Linked DNA regions of Stegostoma tigrinum. The protein of the gene in region 2 binds, or shares a complex with, the protein of the main gene of each other region. Links are inferred from orthologs where the notes say so. Each region holds a gene or a part of one and is shown on either strand. Other genes may lie near its edges. The genes, in order: ccm2 and map3k3.

Region 1 (8,740 bases), on a different chromosome or scaffold from region 2:
AACAAGGTGTGGAGCTGGATGAACACAGCAGGCCAAGCAGCTGTGTTCATCCAGCTCCACATCTTGCTATCTCAGATTCTCCAGCATCTGCAGTTCCTATTATCTCTCAGTAAGACTTGCATATTCTATGAATATAAACAGATTATAAGGTCAGTCTCCACAAAACTTGTATTTATTTTCCTTTGTTTGCTTTGGCATATTGTCAGTTCAATGTACTTTCCAAGTGTTTCCTAAGTGAAGAGTTTCATTCTGTTAAAGACTTTGTTGAAAAACACCAGTAATACTGTAAATGTTGTTGTAATAAAATGCTAATTTGACTGTAAATGTTTTGTGGCTGGTTAAAAACTAATTTCAAGTGATGCAAAAATGGTGGGACAAAATTCAGACACACACACACAAATAATTTGTATGTTTGCAGAATTGCCTTTGAATAATTTATTTTGTTAATTATTAAAGTGCAAAAATGCCTGTTGAATAATCAAGAACTATCCAAACTACGGAGGAAGTCATTTCTTTTGTCATACTGTGGAGGAGATAATGCAGCGGTTAATGCTTCTGGGCTGGTAATCATAATGGCCAGGTTCTGGGCATTTGTGTTTAGATCACACCATGACACCATAGAATTAATAAATTTGGAGTTAAAAGTTAGCCTTGTGTACTGTTTCTGTGGTGTAGTGGGTGTCACATTTGCTTTACATGTGAAAAGGGTGCTGGTTTGAAACGAGCAGAAATGTTTATGTGAATTACTGGTGTCCCAGTGGAGAGCTGTTGCCTCATTTACTCTCGATGTTCCTTATTACGGCCTTCTTGTGGCACAGTGGGAGCGTCTCTGCCAGAGGTCTGGGTTCAAGTCCCACCTACTCCAAGGGTGTATAACAACATCTCTGAATGGGTTGATTAGAAATATAAGTTGCAAGTTCACCTTATTTTTGCATTGCTCTTAATGGGCTCAGCTCATAAACTGAACAACTGGAAACATTGGTGACATATTGCTGGTGGTTAATATGCAAAATTTGTAGAGGTGATTTGGTAGCAGAAAAATCCTTTTAGTTGTGTGATAGAGGATTGAGAGGCTTGGGTTCAAGACCTATCGGCTCTAGAAGTATGCAATAATGTCTCCAAGCAGGTTTAATAAGAAAAAATAGGCTAAATTTAAAAAAAAATCAGTTGTGTGATCATACTTCTTGATGTAAAGTAAATATGGAACCTAGTTGCTCTATAATAGTGATTTTAAGGAAGTAAATCTGCTTTCCTTATCAATCTGAGATAATGGGAACTGCAGATGCTGGAGAATTCCAAGATAATAAAATGTGAGGCTGGATGAACACAGCAGGCCAAGCAGCATCTCAGGAGCACAAAAGCTGACGTTTCTGGCCTAGACCCTTCATCAGAGAGGGGGATGGGGAGAGGGAACTGGAATAAATAGGGAGAGAAGGGGAGGCGGACCGAAGATGGAGAGTAAAGAAGATAGGTGGAGAGAGTATAGGTGGGGAGGTAGGGAGGGGATAGGTCAGTCCAGGGAAGACGGACAGGTCAAGGAGGTGGGATGAGGTTAGTAGGTAGACGGGGGTGCGGCTTGGGGTGGGAGGAAGGGATGGGTGAGAGGAAGAACCGGTTAGGGAGGCAGAGACAGGTTGGACTGGTTTTGGGATGCAGTGGGTGGGGGTGGAAGAGCTGGGCTGGTTGTGTGGTGCAGTGGGGGGAGGGGACGAACTGGGCTGGTTTAGGGATGCAGTAGGGGAAGGGGAGATTTTGAAACTGGTGAAGTCCACATTGATACCATTAGGCTGCAGGGTTCCCAGGCGGAATATGAGTTGCTGTTCCTGCAACCTTCGGGTGGCATCATTGTGGCAGTGCAGGAGGCCCATATTGGACATGGCATCTAGAGAATGGGAGGGGGAGTGGAAATGGTTTGCGACTGGGAGGTGCAGTTGTTTGTTGCGAACTGAGCGGAGGTGTTCTGCAAAGCAGTCTCCAAGCCTCCGCTTGGTTTCCCCAATGTAGAGGAAGCCGCACCGGGTACAGTGGATGCAGTATACCACATTGGCAGATGTGCAGGTGAACCTCTGCTTAATGTGGAATGTCATCTTGGGGCCTGGGATAGGGGTGAGGGAGGAGGTGTGGGGGCAAGTGTAGCATTTCCTGCGGTTGCAGGGGAAGGTGCCGGGTGTGGTGGGGTTGGAGGGCAGTGTGGAGCGAACAAGGGAGTCACGGAGAGAGTGGTCCCTCCGGAAAGCAGACAGGGGTGGGGATGGAAAAATGTCTTGGGTGGTGGGGTCGGATTGTAAATGGCGAAAGTGTCGGAGGATGATGCGTTGTATCCGGAGGTTGGTAGGGTGATGCGTGAGAACGAGAGGGATCCTCTTAGGGCGGTTGTGGCGGGGGCGGGGTGTGAGGGATGTGTTGCGGGAAATACGGGAGACGCGGTCAAGGGCGTTCTCGATCACTGTGGGGGGAAAGTTGCGGTCCTTGAAGAACTTGGACATCTGGGATGTGCGGGAGTGGAATGTCTTATCGTGGGAGCAGATGCGGCGGAGGCAGAGGAATTGGGAATAGGGGATGGAATTTTTGCAGGAGGGTGGGTGGGAGGAGGTGTATTCTAGGTAGCTGTGGGAGTCGGTGGGCTTGAAATGGACATCAGTTACAAGCTGGTTGCCTGAGATGGAGACTGAGAGGTCCAGGAAGGTGAGGGATGTGCTGGAGATGGCCCAGGTGAACTGAAGGTTGGGGTGGAAGGTGTTGGTGAAGTGGATGAACTGTTCGAGCTCCTCTGGGGAGCAAGAGGCGGCGCCGATACAGTCATCAATGTAACGGAGGAAGAGGTGCGGTTTGGGGCCTGTGTAGGTGCGGAAGAGGGACTGTTCCACGTAACCTACGAAGAGACAGGCATAGCTGGGGCCCATGGCCACCCCCTTAGTCTGTAGGAAGTGGGAGGAGTCAAAAGAGTTGTTGAGGGTGAGGACGAGTTCAGCTAGGCGGACGAGAGTGTCGGTGGAGGGGGACTGGTTGGGCCTGCGGGACAGGAAGAAGCGGAGGGACTTGAGGCCATCTGCATGCGGAATGCAGGTGTATAGGGACTGGACGTCCATGGTGAATATGAGGTGTTGGGGGCCAGGGAATTGGAAGTCCTGGAGGAGGTGGAGGGCGTGGGTGGTGTCACGGACGTAGGTGGGGAGTTCCTGGACCAAAGGGGAGAAAATGGAGTCCAGATAGGTGGAGATGAGTTCGGTGGGGCAGGAGCAGGCTGAGACGATGGGTCGACCAGGGAAGGCAGGTTTGTGGATTTTGGGAAGGAGATAGAAACGGGCCGTGCGGGGTTGGGGAACAATGAGGTTGGAGGCTGTGGGTGGGAGGTCCCCTGAGGTGATGAGGTGAATGGTGTTGGAGATGATGGTTTGGTGCTCGGGTGTGGGGTTATGATCGAGGGGGCGGTAGGAGTTGGTGTCGGAGAGTTGGCGTCTGGCCTCGGCGATGTAGAGGTCAGTGCGCCATACTACCACTGCGCCACCCTTGTCTGCGGGTTTGATGGTGAGGTTGGGGTTGGAGCGGAGGGAGCGGAGGGCTGCCTGTTCTGCAGGGGAGAGGTTGGAGTGGGTGAGAGGGGTGGAGAGGTTGAGGTGGTTAATGTCTCGACGGCAGTTGGAGATGAAGAGGTCGAGGGAGGGTAGGAGGCCTGGGGGTGGTGTCCAGGAGGAGGACTTGTGTTGGAAGCGGGTGAAGGGGTCAGTGGAAGGAGGGTTAGGTTCCCGGTTGAAGAAGTAGGCATGGAGGCGAAGACGGCGGAAAAACTGCTCTATGTCCAAACGTGACTGGTATTCGTTGATGTGTGGTTGTCGGGGGACAAAGGTGAGCCCCTTACTAAGGACTGACCGTTCGTCCTCAGTCAGTGGGAGGTCTGGGGGGATGGACTTCCTTCCTTATCAATCTATATATTTTGGAAGCATAAATTCCTGCAACTTTCTGAAATAAGTCAAAACAGATAAAGTTTACAGAAGTGGATATCAGTTGGAAAAATTCAAATGTCAGTTATTTGTATTATTGGTCTTTTATTCTTAAAAAAATCTAGAATTTGATACAAAATGCTTACGATTAACTAGATTGCACGTAAAATGGAAAAGTTCAACATTTGCTCGCCAACCATCACTTTATTTTTCCTCCTGAAGTAACTGCAAAAAGTGCTAGATGAACTTCACGCAAAATCTTACTGGATTCAAACATGGACTCAGTTTCCCTCTTTACATGTGCCGCAAGCTCTGCTGATCTCCAGCATGCACAGTATTTTGTTGATATTTTTATTTCCTCCTTTTAAGGCCTTTCTTTTGAGACCTATCCCTTTTCGCCAATACAAATGAAACAACGTTTAGTTTTGTGAAAAAGATACACAATTTGCATTCAGATCTGGGTTGTTTTGAAGCTAGAAGTAGAATCTAAATAGTAACTGAGACTGAGTGGGAACGTTCGCTTCTTTTCATCATGGCATAGGGAGACAAGTCTAAATTGTACCATTGTCTTCCTGAAGATGGCGCCCTGAAGACGTTTGGCCACTGCCGGCCTGTAGAAAAACCACGATAACAAAGTGTGAAGCTAGATGAACACAGCAGGCCAAGCAGCATCTCAGGAGCACAAAAGCTGACGTTTCGGACCGAAAAACCACGGCGGGCGTGAAACACACGCTCCCTGCAAGCCGGGGGCGGACCTATCCGCAGCGGATGCCCCCTTGCGGCTGGAAGAAGGAGCGTCGCGCCTTCGTGACGTTTGGAGGAGGCGAAGCGGCGGAAGCCTCATGGCGCCCTGAAAAAGGAGGAAGGTTGGCCGCGGAGGCCCCCTGGCGGTTAGGAGCAGGACCGACGGTTAGGGGCCCCTGGTGGACGGGAGGATGTGTTGCGGCGGAGGCGATAGTCCTCCAGAGCTGACCCAATGTGCGCCGGGAAGACACGCCCAAGATGGCGGCAGGATTGAAAAGTTGCTTTCGGCGGTGTGCGATCTGACCGGGGTGGGTAGGGAGAGTGTGGTTGAGGGAAGTTTGTGTCCAGCCCACACAACGAATGGGCGGCTAGGCCCGGGATTGGAGTGGTTGTCCGATGTCGCTGCCGTAATGTCATTGTGGGCGGGAGTCGGTTCTTTTTCCGCCGTTACCCTGGTTGTAAGGAGTTACCGCTGGTTCTTCAGCTAGAAATGGAGGATGATGCGAAGAAAGGTAAAAAGGTGAGAGTTGTGCGCGGTTTAGTTTGGGGTGATGAAAGATCGGGGGAGACATCCCCCCCAGGGTCGGATCTGGATATCGCTGGTATTGGGTGTGGGTCTGTTGAGCGGCCGGAGGGGTGCTCTAGAGCCTGGGCTTCCTTAGGATTGGGGGCCGAAGTGGCCTGTCATCGCGGGGCTGAGGGAGAAAAGGTAAATATAGCTCCAGCTGACAACGAAATTTGCTGTTTGGCCCAAAAACGGAGGGGGCGGGGTTGCTATGGCTTGTAATTTTGGGGCCGCCTTGTCTTAAAATAGACGAGATTTGTCAAAGGATTTACGTTTCCTCAGTTTTTTTTGGAAACAAATGTATTTCAGATGTAGTTCATTAAACTTCGAGATCGTTGAAGGGCGTTTTGTTACTCCTGTTTGGGTTGGGCTGTTTTTCACCGGTGACTTTTTCTGATGTCCGCTGGGAGCTGGAGGCGGAGGCACTTCAGCGGCTGCTGCTGTTGAAACTACTCGAAAGCCACTCCACGGTGTCTTCCCACCCAGCCCGAAATGTAAACAAATTTTCAGCACGCCCTGCTTCACTTTCCAGTGTCTGCAGTACACTACTTAATAAGAGACAGATATTTGACACCCGATTTTCTTTTTGCCGGGAAGAGTTAGTGTACAGCTGCTGAAATAGCAGCTTGACGGAAAATATTGTGGTCAATGTGTTCTTGTTTCATTTCAGTTGATAACGGTGGCGTTGTAAGTTATAATACAAGTCTACAATCTCATGCGAGAGAAATTTTTGTTTTGTGCAACTTGCTTAGGCAGATGTCCAAAACGTAGTGACTCTGCAAACTTTTTGATCCGAATTGTTATTTCACAGCACTTGCCTGTCAGTGTGGTATGTTATGCTCAATTTTTGTTCTGTGTTTTTAGGAGTTTCTATACGCTATAGAAACAAGCTTTTCCATCAGATCTGGTTATGTTCTCATGTGAGAGCTTTCACTGTATTTGCTTTCCAAGCACTGATAATTCTGTTAGAATCCTAGAAGCCCCACAGTCCTCATCAAATCTGCACCAACCCTCCAAAGAGCGTCCCACGCCAAACCTTCTAGTTTGCCGAACCTGTACATCTTTGGACTGTACGCGGAACCCGCAGCACTCAGTTTGAAAATCCGTAGACACCGAGAACGTGCAAACACCACATGGTTGCCCAAGGCCGAAATAGAATCGAATCTCTGGCATTGAGGCAGTAATGCTAACCACTGAGCCACCAGAGCATTCTAAATCACCAGTTATGTAACTGAACATTTTGCATTCTAGTTAATATATATTTTCACTCGCCTACCCTAAACCTTTGCAACCTTTTTGATTTGTACTTTGCTGTGGTCAGCAGTCTTTTTCTTCCATTGTCAGACTTTCAGATAATACAGTGAAAAATGTCCTAATTTTTCAAGTCATGCTATTTATTTTTGTTCAGATCTAAACTGTGCTCTGTATTGAGTAACTTGGGTGCCCAAAGATGGATGCTGGGTTTCTCACTTGTTAGTTATTTAGTGAATTGCTTCTATGCTTTTGTTATTATGCTCTTGAGATACAAAATCAAGAATTCTGTGAAAGATATCAATTTAAAACAAGAAGTTTTTTTTCTTTCCACTGATGCTGTCTGACAAGTGTTTCCAACACTGGTTGGCCCCAACTGCAGTGTTGTGTGTTTGTCAGATTTTTTTATCCACTCATTGATATGTTTTTAATTACAGTTCTGTGCATCAAGGTCATTCTACTCTAACATTTCACTGGAAACTTTGCTGTGTCAGTTTTTTTTTTGAAAGATATCCGCCTCAATTCTGCAAACTTGGAATCTTATCTCTTTGCTGAATTGCATTACTTACAGCATTCTAAAATCCAAGCAGGTTAGTTTAAGCTTTGCAGTTCATGATGTAACAGCAGTTATCGAGATGTACAGCATGGAAACAGACCCTTCAGTCCAACTTGATCATGCCAACTAATATCCTAAATTAATCCAGTTCCATTTGCCAGCATGTGACCTGTATTCCTCTAAACCTTTCCTATTCATGCATCCATCCAGATGCCTCTTAAATGTTGTAATCATTACTAGCTGCTGCCTCCACCCTGGCACCTCGTTCCACGGTCATGCCACCCTTTATGTGAAAAGGTTGCCCCTTAGGCCCCTTAAATCCTTCCCCTCCCACCTTAAACCTGTGCCCCTCTAGTTTTGGACTCCCTACTCTGGAGAAAAGGCCATGACTATCCTCCTTATGCAAGCCCCTCATGATCTTTTAAACGTGGTATAAGGTCACTGCTCAGCTTTGGCTCCAGCCTATTCAGCCTCTCCCTATAGCTCAAACACCCCAATTCTACCAACCTCCTTTTGAAATCTTTTTCCAACTAACAATTGATAATTTTGTATAGACCAATTAATTAAGCCACAATGCATTTGAACTTTGTCTTAAATTCTTCATGCAGAGGCGTCTTAAAATTTGTAATGGCTGGTCTGCTAGTTTTTATGATTCTTTCAACAGATTCAAACAGAATTGTATGTTCCTAGTAGGTGGCTCTAAATCCTCCATAAGAAGCAGGGGGTGGTGAAATCTGAAGTTCAGCTGTGGTTGTAACTCCTAGTTCTGCATTAACCATCATGGACTTTGCCCTGCGCTGCTGTATGTGATGATACTTTGTAGGTATGCCATTATGGGGAAAACGTTCAATGGAAAATACACCGACGTGAAGCATTTCTTTTGACCCTTAGGTCATTGAGTATGACATTTGGAAGCTAATACTGTCACATTTTAAGGCTTCACAATCATTTAACAGGAATCTCATATGATGTTACACTCTGTCTTCATTGCAAAAACTGCAATTGCAGATGCAATGTTCCATGCTCACTCAGGATAGACAACTGTGTATCTTGACTGAGAGAACCCAAACTGCAGATCTACCAAACTTGCATCTTCTGTGAACCCTTCTATATTTGTAAGACAACATATGCTGGGCAGGAAGAAAGGGTTGCATTGTTTCTGACTCTGCTGTTTCAGGTGTATCCTCAACATCTTGAAAGAGGCAGTCACTGACTCTATTCCTGGAGTATGCAGATGACATTAACATGTTGTTATCACCAGGCCAAGGATGTCTACACGTTTCATCAGGTAGCAAGGCTGTGTACCTAATAGTTTTCTATTGTGACGTGGTCACCTGAGTCATGAAAATGGCAGTCATTACCAGTGACTGACTCTTAAGTGTTTGAATCAATAAACCCCTGTGTTCTGAACTCTGGAGGAGCATTAGAAGAGTTGACCGCCTGAAGTATAAACCATCCTTTAAGGGAAGGAAGACCTGGCATCCACTTGTGGTTTGTAGTCAAGGCTGACCTGAAATGCCCACCGTTTTAAAAATTGACAAGGCTGAATCTATTTGTCTTCAGTTCTCCATTATGAACTTTGATCCATATCCATCAAATTTCATCTCCAACCCTAGCCTCTATCCCAGGCTAAACTAAACAGTTTGTAGCTTGTCCTGTTTTGACCTTGAGCTGGCCTAATTC
Region 2 (9,323 bases):
AGGGTAAGGCAATAACTTGGATCTGTACAGCACTATAATACAGTCCCAAGGTGATTCTTGGCAGCGCGCTGAAAACACTATTTACCAAGGTTTCTGATTCTTAAAAGGTGCGGGAGGAAACTTTGATCAGCTGCGGCTCAGTTGGTAGCATGGTCCCCTTTGAGTCTGAGGTTATGGCTTCAGATTCATTCCATGACTGGAGAACAAAAATCAAAGCTGATATTCCACTGCAGTCATAAGGGAGTGTTATTGTGAGATGACATTAAATACAGGCCCCTTTCTGAACATCAACATTGATAAGTTTTACACCTTTAAAATAAATTCTGCTTTTTCATTCTTACGACTAAACTAGATAACTCACATTTGCCTGCAATATTCAACTTGTTGCACACTCATTCAACCAGCCTTGCCCTTTCCAGCCTTTGACACCATCAGTGTACAAATTCACCTAGTAAACTTGGAATCTACATTAACCTCTATCAATTCATGTATTGACTATTAACGTAGACCAGAAAAATGGAGGTCCCAGCACTGATCTTTCAGTACATCACTAGTCTAAGCCTGCCAACTTGAAAATGCCCTGTTTATGCATACTGTCTGCTTCCTATCCATTAAACAATCTTATATTCATGCTAATATTATCCCCAACTTATTGAGACTTTGTCCAGCATATTAACCTTTTGTGTTATACTTTATTGAATATATTTTAGAAAGTGCATGTCAGTACCAAAGTCCAGCTGTATATTTTTCTCTCTACCCACAGAGTACAGTGAAAAGACAAAAAATGGCAAACTCAATGTATTTTAAATAAATCATTTTAATACTTAATACACTGAAACATGGATTATAAATTCAGGGATTAAGTACACTGAATTTGCCTCACCAAGAATGTTATCAATTTGTATTGATGACTAGGAAAAATTACTCACCTCAATAGATTAATCACCCTTAGGCCAGGTTAGAAAATTGAAAGTTAATGATTAGTTTTCCTATTTAATCCAGCATGTAATCCAAATTCCTGTAAAATCCAAAATCAAGCGTAGTCTTGAACTTGGTCTAAAGGGTGCTCGATTTTAAACGCCAGGCCCTTACATTTTATATTAAATTCCCTTTATTTACTCCACTAGTTACATTTTCAACTTGGTTTTCACCCTTGTAAAACCATGATGGCTTTGTCTGATTACACCATGCTTTCTGAAATGCATTCCGCAACAGATTCCAACACTTTCCAGATAGCTGGCTTAAGGTGAATCGACCTACAATTTTTTGAACTCTCTGTCCCTCCTTTCTCAAATAGGAGTAATATATTTGTTAACTTTCAAACTGCTGGGAGCAGCTCTTGTGGTGCCATGGTAGTGTCCCTGCATCAGGGCCAAAAGGTTCAGGTTTGACGTCCCACCTGTTCCAAAGGTACATCATAACATGTCCAAATCATCTGACTTAAAACACTTTCTCCTATCTGTTGGGACCATTTCCACATTCTACAGACTTTTGGAAAATCATAGCTGGTGGATCTCTGTAGCCAAATAATTTTGACCTCTAAATGTAGTCTGATACGTAACTTGCCTTCCAATGTGAAGACAGACAAAATACTTATTCAAATGGCTCTACCATTTCCTCATTCCCCCTAACGATTTCTCCTGTCTCTACTTCTGAAAGACTAGCACTTGGTTTAGCTTCTCTCTTCCTTTTTAAATGCTTGTAAAACTTCCAGTAATCTGACTTATATCCATGGTTATTATTCACTTCATACTCTGTTTTCTTCCTTTGTTTTTATTAACTTTTTGATTGAATAGTTGTCTGAATAAATTAACTCATTCTGCAGTAGCACTATGTTGCTCAATTAGTGTAATGTTGTACGTGGCCCTGGGTCTAACATATCACAATACATTCAGCATATCTCCATGATTACATCTATCCAATTTTGCATCAACTCTGATCAGTTACATCAGGGCAAAACACTGCTTGTCAGTGTGCATACCTATGTTGGATTTTTTTTTTGTATATGCTACATCATTGGAGGATAGTTACATGAGCATATCCCATAGGGAATTCTCTATATTTAAAATAGTCTGTAAAATTCGGTATTGCTTCTGTAAAGTCATATCAGAATAGCTTGGTTCATCTTCATTCTCTTCAATACTGATCACATCACTAGAAGTGTCACAGTTTTGCAAATGTGCATTTAAGATGTCTTGGATATCTTAAATAAGCTGTTTGTCTGTGTTACAGCATTATGCATGTTCTGCACTGCTCTGTGAATCTTCATTTGTATACAGTAATAAACCAAGGTATACAAAATGAATTCTAATATATTACCTCCACATTGCGTTAAAATATTCAGGAACATTTTGCATCCATTCTATAAACCTATTTGACTATATTTGCAATGGTTCTGTACTCAAATATCTTATTGTGGGAAGCAGCACTGGTGAATGGCATATCTTGTTATATCGCAAGGTAATTCTTTATGGTCAATTTACTATTTTAGGGAATTTTTGCACTGTCTCAGTATATCTTCATCAGCTGCATGGCTATAATACACTGGCACCACAAGCCTGCATTGTTATATTCTACAATCATATAACTCTGAATACCTATATAACATAGCTGACATATTGGGATTACCATTGACCAGAGACTGAACTGGACAAGCTATATAAACGCAGTTGCTACAACAGGAGGTCAGCAGCTGAGAATTCTACTGTGATTAACTCACGTCCCAAAGCCAGTCCTGTATCTATAAGGCACAAGTCAAAAATATGATGGAATGCACTTCATTTGCTTGGATCAATGCAGCTCCCAGAAAAAAAATGCCTTGTTAGCATCAAGGACAAAGCAGTCCACTTGATTGGCACCACATGCAACAGTATGGCAGCAATCGCTAACCAGCTACAATGCAGCAAATCACCATGCCCCGAGTACAGTACATTCCTACTGTATGTCCTAATCTACCAACTTCTATCACCTGGAAGGACAAAGCCATCAGGTGCATGAAACACCACAGACTACAAGTTCACCTCCAAGGTGTACACCTCTCCCACTTGAGACTAAACTGCTTAACTCATCATTGTCACTGAGTTAAAATCCTGAAACCCCAATCCTAACAGCACTAAGGGCAACCTACTTGCATATCAATATGCCCCACCACTCCATTGATTGCAGCAGTTCAAGACAGCTAACTTTCTCAAGGTTGATGCAGCAGCTGAGCAATAAATTGCCCACATTCCGACAGCAAACGTAAAAAGAAACTAAAGGAACGTTTACTGCAGCGCACAGTTCTAGCATCGTATGTTTATTTAATAAACCTGCGTTAATCTCACGTAGTCTACCTAATCTAATCTTATGTAGTATCTCATTATATTCAACACTACAAAGGAGTGCATTCTGTGCAATCTCTCCTCAAGTGCACTAATGCATTCCCAAGTATTCTGCAAATGTTCGTTGGCACATGTGTTTTGTCTTATGTTTTGTATAAGTGGATCGGTATCATATTTAAAACCAGCTCTGCCAACTTACAACGTTATATTCTAAAGTCGATCTGAATTGAACAACCCATTTCAACTTATATTTGGATATTCTGCATACCCCAAGGTATTTTGTACTAACTTAATGCATTTGAAGCTACAAACTGCATAACCCTGACAGACCGTACGACAACACTGCAAACTGCGTTTTTATGTTCCCAGTAACTCAGACAGCCCCAAACCTGAATTATGCAGAACCATCTGCAAGTCCCAGGATATTCGGCGCTAGCTCAGAGTACGCACAGCCCGGTATATCGTGCACTCTCTCAGTGTACCTGCATTTGTATCGTGTGGTCGGTTTGCTACCGGTTTTGGGAACTTCCCGGTGGTCTTTGGCCTTGCCTCTTTGGGCCGCCTACTCCACAGACTCCAGTTTGATTCGGGGCTCTGGGCCCCGCGCCGCCCTCGATCGCTGTCTGCCTGCACAATTTAGCCCCGGCGCCGCGCAGATACCACCGTCTCCATGGCGGTTGCGAATCGGACGGGCCCCAGCCCCCAGACGTACACTAACGGACTGCAGTGGGCCAGACAGCGAACGGCTCTTCCGGAGCAACAACCAAAAAAACTCCGGCCTCCAGCCGCCGCGCACGCGCAGAGTGCCGGAAGCCGGCGGCCGTGACTAGATGCGCCTGCGTAGAGCACCGGGCCCGGCACCGCATGCGCAGGGCTAGGCCGAGGGCGGGGCAGGCAGGCGCATGCGCAACGCGGGAAGGCGCGGACGTGAAGTGGCTTCACGGCGGAGTTTATGAGGTTTAGTTGGTGAAGCGTGAGGAATGGCTGAAGTAAAACGGGGCGAGGTCGGAGTGGTTTAAGGCGGAGAAAAGAGGGGCTGAGAGGTTTAAGAGAGTGTGCCGGTGGGAGATGAGGTGAGATTGGTGAGAAGAAAGGGTGTGAGGGAGAGTGAAGGCTGCTCAGGAGCATTAAGTGGGAAGAGGTTAGCCAGTTGAATATACAGCCCACGGAAACAGCCTTATTTTCCGAAAAAGAGTTCCGACCCGAAACGTCAACTTTGCTGTTCCTCTAGCTGCTGCCTGGCTTGCTGTGTTCTTCCAGCCTCCTGTTTGTCTATATTTAATAGGTGTTGATGAGACAATGCTGAAAGGTTTCGGATAGAACAGTGTGTCGAAAGTTTCAGTAGAACGGTTTTTGGGACTGTCCGGCTCTTCGGGTCAGCTGAGTCAATAGGGAAATTATAATACCTAATACTGCCTTTCGTAACACCCTTTCTGGGGGCAGAAGCACATTCACTAGATTAACTGAATTATATTACTTACAGTATCAAGCTGTTGTAGCTTAATAGCTACAACGGAATCTACATGTCAGTTAACATGTCAACATTGTGAACAATAGTAAGCTACTGTATTTGAGTGTAGTCCATGGAATTATATTTAAAGGGCCCACTTGAATCAAAGGGGTTGACACCCCAGTGACAAAGTCAGCCTAAAGAGCAGGAACCTTGGAAGAGAGAGCAACAGCCTCAACCTCAGTTCAGCCACTGTAACCAGGGTAGTAGATGTTGCCTGGCCTGCTGTGTTCCTCCAGCTCCACACTGTGTTATCTCTGACTCCAGCATCAGCAGTTCTAACTATCGCTCACAGAAACTGCTGTTTTCTCCACACTGCTTTATTGGGAGCTCTGTTGTAACCATGCTTTGGGTTGGCTGGGCATTTAGTGTCAAGAGGTCGCACTGTCTTGTTAGACTGCTGCTGCTGCTGTTGTGTCCCATGTATCTTTAGCTTGAATGATGCTCACTCACTCTCAGTAATTCTGAAAATTCTTCATTTACATGGGTACATGCTTATAATGGAGAAATGCAGCTGTCTAATGTAGTGTTTCTCTTTTGCCACTCTTCAAGTCTCAATCATTTCTCTGCTTTGCTTATGTCAGAGTAGCATGGTCATTTACACCATCATTTAATTTCTGTGCTGCAAAAATTCTGATTTGATATTAAGCTTTTATTACATTGTATATGTGCCCCTCCTAAAACCATGCTTCTCTGTCTGCTTCCATAATCCCTTTTGCTTCCTAGTGCTTGTTGTGGTCAAGATTGTTATGAAGTATGTTAGGATCATTAAAGTAGACTGGAATCAGTATGAAGCAAACCAGAAACAGTGTGAAAGACATCAAGATCACCAAAACACACAGCCACATGAGATGATAGATGTTGATGCAAAGAACAAGGGTAAGTTCAAATATTCAAGGGAAACATGCTTCTGAAAGAATGTTTGTTTGACAAATTACCTTAAGACTGATTACTAAATTACGGCTGACAACATGGAAGGTTGGGATTGAGGACAGAAAGCCAGTCATGGTGGATAAGAATTTTTTTGGACTGGAGGGTGGTAGATCGTCATATCTTCCAAGTGTCAGTGCTTTGTTGTTTTTTGTGTTGTTTTTGCAATTGATAAATGATTTGGGTCTTGGAATGCTGAGTCAAATTTCAAAATTTATTGATGATACCAAATTTAGAGTGGCAAATCTTAAGATAATTTAAATGGCCTGCAATAGGACATTTGACGGACAATCAGAATGGTCACCAAAGTGGCAGGTTGAATTTTAGACAGCAAAGTTGTGTTGAGCCTTGATAAAGCTCTGATTGGGTCCTAACAGGAATATTGATCTAACTATAGTTACCATGCTTTAGCAAAAATGTTCCTTGAGCAGATGCAGAGGAAATTTACCAGAATGATACTGTGGAATGATGGCTGTAGCTCCAAGTTTAGTTTGGAACAGCTGGAGTTGTTCTCCTTGGAGCAAAAGAGACCAGGTAGATTTGAGGTGTACAAGACTTTAGACAAGGTTGAGGAGGGAAAGCACCAATTAACTGATAGTACAAGGAATAGGAGACATGGGTTTAGGATTTTGGGTAAGAGACGCAGGGGGACTGTGATGAAAAACATTTTGTATTAATTTTATGCAGTGAGTGTTAGTAACCTGGATCTGGCCTCTTATGAGTGTGACGTAAATAATGATTCTGTGACGAAATTGGATAAGATTTAGACAAATCAACTTGCAAGACTGTGGAAATTGAATAGCGGAGTACAAATGACAGGATTGCTCTGGCTGGAACCAACAAAGACAATAATCATTTTAAAAACATTTGCGTTCCCTGAGTCCAATTTAAAAGCTCACATGACAAGTTTTGCAACTTCAACTGCAACAAGTAAACTAAAACCAACACTGATTAAACACTGTTTCTATAGGTAACTGCAGAAGAGAACTTCCCCTTTTACTTTCACATGAACAAAGTTCTCACTCCATGGTATTATTTTATTCTGTCCCTTAAGTAGGCATTTAATTCACCTGGAACCAGTCTAAAGAGATTTTTCATTATTCAGGGTTTACTTTCATTTTTTTTCCTGCCCCAGTCAAGTAACATTTAACCTCAGAACTATCTTTAATGCTCAGGATTTTTCTGGAGATTTTGTCTGTGATTGAAGGCAGATGAATCTTCTAGCCTCATTGTAAGTCCTCAAAGATTTGGCCTTTTCAGCAAGCTCTCACCTGCATCTCTGTGTAATGTATAATAAGAACCTGTTACCTGTCTGTTCTCTCTATGGTCCTGACAAGCCAACCATTCTGTGAAATTCAGGTGCAACTTTTAGGAGAACCTTATAATCCAATCTTACAATGGCTTCCAGTACATTTTATTCCTCTCAATTCCTCTCATTTCCATAGCAATGTAAATCAATGGGCCTATTTATCAAGGTAAACATGTTGATTTTATACCCTTGAGATATAACAACTTATTCTGTTATGAAACTAAGTAGACAATAGATAAAGTATAACCATTTTCAAAATCAGACACTCTTAATTCTTCTTGGGAATTTGGGACTAATAGTATATCCATTGTCAGCAAATATTCTTCTACCATTGTTTGCAAGTGTGAGCATCTTGTGTCTTCACAGAGAAACACCTGAATGTCTTTAACAGTCAAGCCAATGACTTTTGCTGGCAGCAGGATCCAAAGCAGATCATGTCAGTTCCTTTTTTACCTCCGTTTTACTCTAATCAACACAGTCCAAATAGGCGTAACATTCTTATAAAAACCACTCATTTGTAACAGTGTAATGAGTAGAATGGCCTCCTTCCATGCTGTAAATTACTCTGCAACAAGGTGGTCGAGAAAAATATAGATGAGAAAGGTAGCACTGTTGATTAAGGATAATGTTTTACAGTATTAGAATGAGACAATATCCCAGAATGTTCAAGTACAGAATCTATTTGGGTGGAGCGAAAACACAATATAGGTACCCTTTCATTGCCCAGTGTATTCCATTCACCACAAGCTGATGGGTAGAATTTACAGGAATAAATTTGCAAGGAAATTACAGAGGTGCACATAAGTTTTGGAGTAGTACCTTTTATTACAGTACATCTTAAAATAATTTAAATAATTAAATAATCAGAGATGAGCAGGAGTTTCAAGAGTGTATTCAGGACAATATTGTAAAACAGAATATTTTCATTCCAGTGAGAAAGTTGCTGCATTTAATTCTTGTGAATGAAGTCGACCAATGGATCAAGTGTCGGTAAGAGAACATATATGGAACAACGGTTATTAGGTTTAGGTTGGTTATAGATATGTAGGAATTACGAGCAGGAGTAAACCATTTGGCCCATGAAGCTGCACTGCCATGTTTTAAGATCATAGTTTATCATCCAACTCATCAGTTTGTTCCTGCTTTTCCCACATAACCTTTGATCCCCAAAAACTGGTTCCAACTCCTTCTTGAAATCACATCTTTCGATCTTTACTGTTTTCATTGCAGAAAATCCCACAGTTTCACCATTGCCTGAGTGAGGAAATTTCTTCTCATCTCAGTCTTAAATGATCTATCTCATATCCTGGTTCCAATGACCTGCTATCACAAGACCATTCCTACATTTATCCTGTCTAGTACGTTTAGAATTTTATAGGTTGCAATGAGATGCTTTCTCATTCTCCTGAATTCCAGTAAATTAAATCCTAACTGATTCAACCGTTCCTCATATGTCGGCCCTGCTATCCCAAGGATCAGTCTGGTAATGGAGCAGAGCAGGAATGGCTGTTGGACTGGGGACCGGTGCGGATGGTCAGTGGTTTGTGAGCCCGAAAAAACCATATCTGAAAGACCCCTGCACCGATCTACTACATTATAATGTTTACCTATAACCTGTCTGTAATGTTCATCCTTTTAACTTTATTTCTTAGTTTCTAACTTATACATTGAATCACTATGTATTGTAACTTTTTTTATTTCTCTATTTTGTATCTCAGATTTGTACCTTGGTACCTTATAGTTTAGATGGTGCCATCATGGGTGACATTTTAAATTTTCAGTATACTCCTGTACTTGAGTACACATGACAATAAACCTAATTCTAATTCTAATTCTAAACCTTTTACTGCAATTCCTTTATAGCAAGAACACCCTTCCTCAGGTGCGGAGACCAAAACTGTGTACAGTATTGCAGGCATGGTTTCACTAAGGTTCTTTATATATTAAACAAGACATCCCTGCTCCTGTAATCAAAAGTTCTGGCTATGAAGTCTAATATACTATTTCGCTTCTTTACTGCATCCCCAAGGACTCGTGCAACTTGTTTGGCAACTATTCCTTGCTCATGACACAATACCCAACCTAAGATTGTGTTTTCTAGTTGGTTCCTCAATGTTTTGGTCCATAAAACCAATTTGCGCGCACTCAACTAACTCCTCCTCTACAAGATTGTTACTAATTTGATTTGCCTAATCTGTATGTAGATGAAAATCACCCACAGATGTTCCTTTACTTCAGGCGGCTCTACAGTTTC

Evidence for each region.
Region 1: the proteins of map3k3 (region 2) and ccm2 are in contact, whole or in part, in a crystal structure (PDB 4Y5O), measured with the Homo sapiens proteins. The link is inferred for Stegostoma tigrinum from reciprocal best matches to the Homo sapiens genes MAP3K3 and CCM2. Residues at the interface, in NP_002392.2 of Homo sapiens: Asp2, Glu3, Gln4, Ala6, Leu7, Ser9, Ile10, Met11, Asn12, Asp13, Leu14, Val15, Ala16, Leu17, Glu50, Asp82, His84, Met86, Asn88, Glu89, Leu90, Ser91, Ile92, Leu93, Arg117, Leu119, Leu121, Ser122, Gln123, Asp124; in NP_113631.1 of Homo sapiens: Leu299, Tyr302, Met303, Leu306, Arg307, Ser312, Gln313, Ile315, Gln316, Gln317, Phe318, Ala319, Ala320, Leu321, Leu322, His323, Glu324, Arg326, Glu333, Ile336, Asn337, Gln340, Leu341, Leu353, Phe356, Pro358.

The regions. Positions count from the first base shown.
Region 1 is NC_081357.1:77,946,330-77,955,069, reverse strand, and holds the start of ccm2 (cerebral cavernous malformations protein 2 homolog), read left to right. Parts: upstream 1-4,765; 5' UTR 4,766-5,175; coding exon 5,176-5,205; intron 5,206-8,740. UniProt on the Homo sapiens protein: Component of the CCM signaling pathway which is a crucial regulator of heart and vessel formation and integrity. May act through the stabilization of endothelial cell junctions. May function as a scaffold protein for MAP2K3-MAP3K3 signaling.
Region 2 is NC_081384.1:38,406,292-38,415,614, reverse strand, and holds the start of map3k3 (mitogen-activated protein kinase kinase kinase 3), read right to left. Parts: upstream 4,105-9,323; 5' UTR 3,803-4,104; intron 1-3,802. UniProt on the Homo sapiens protein: Component of a protein kinase signal transduction cascade. Mediates activation of the NF-kappa-B, AP1 and DDIT3 transcriptional regulators.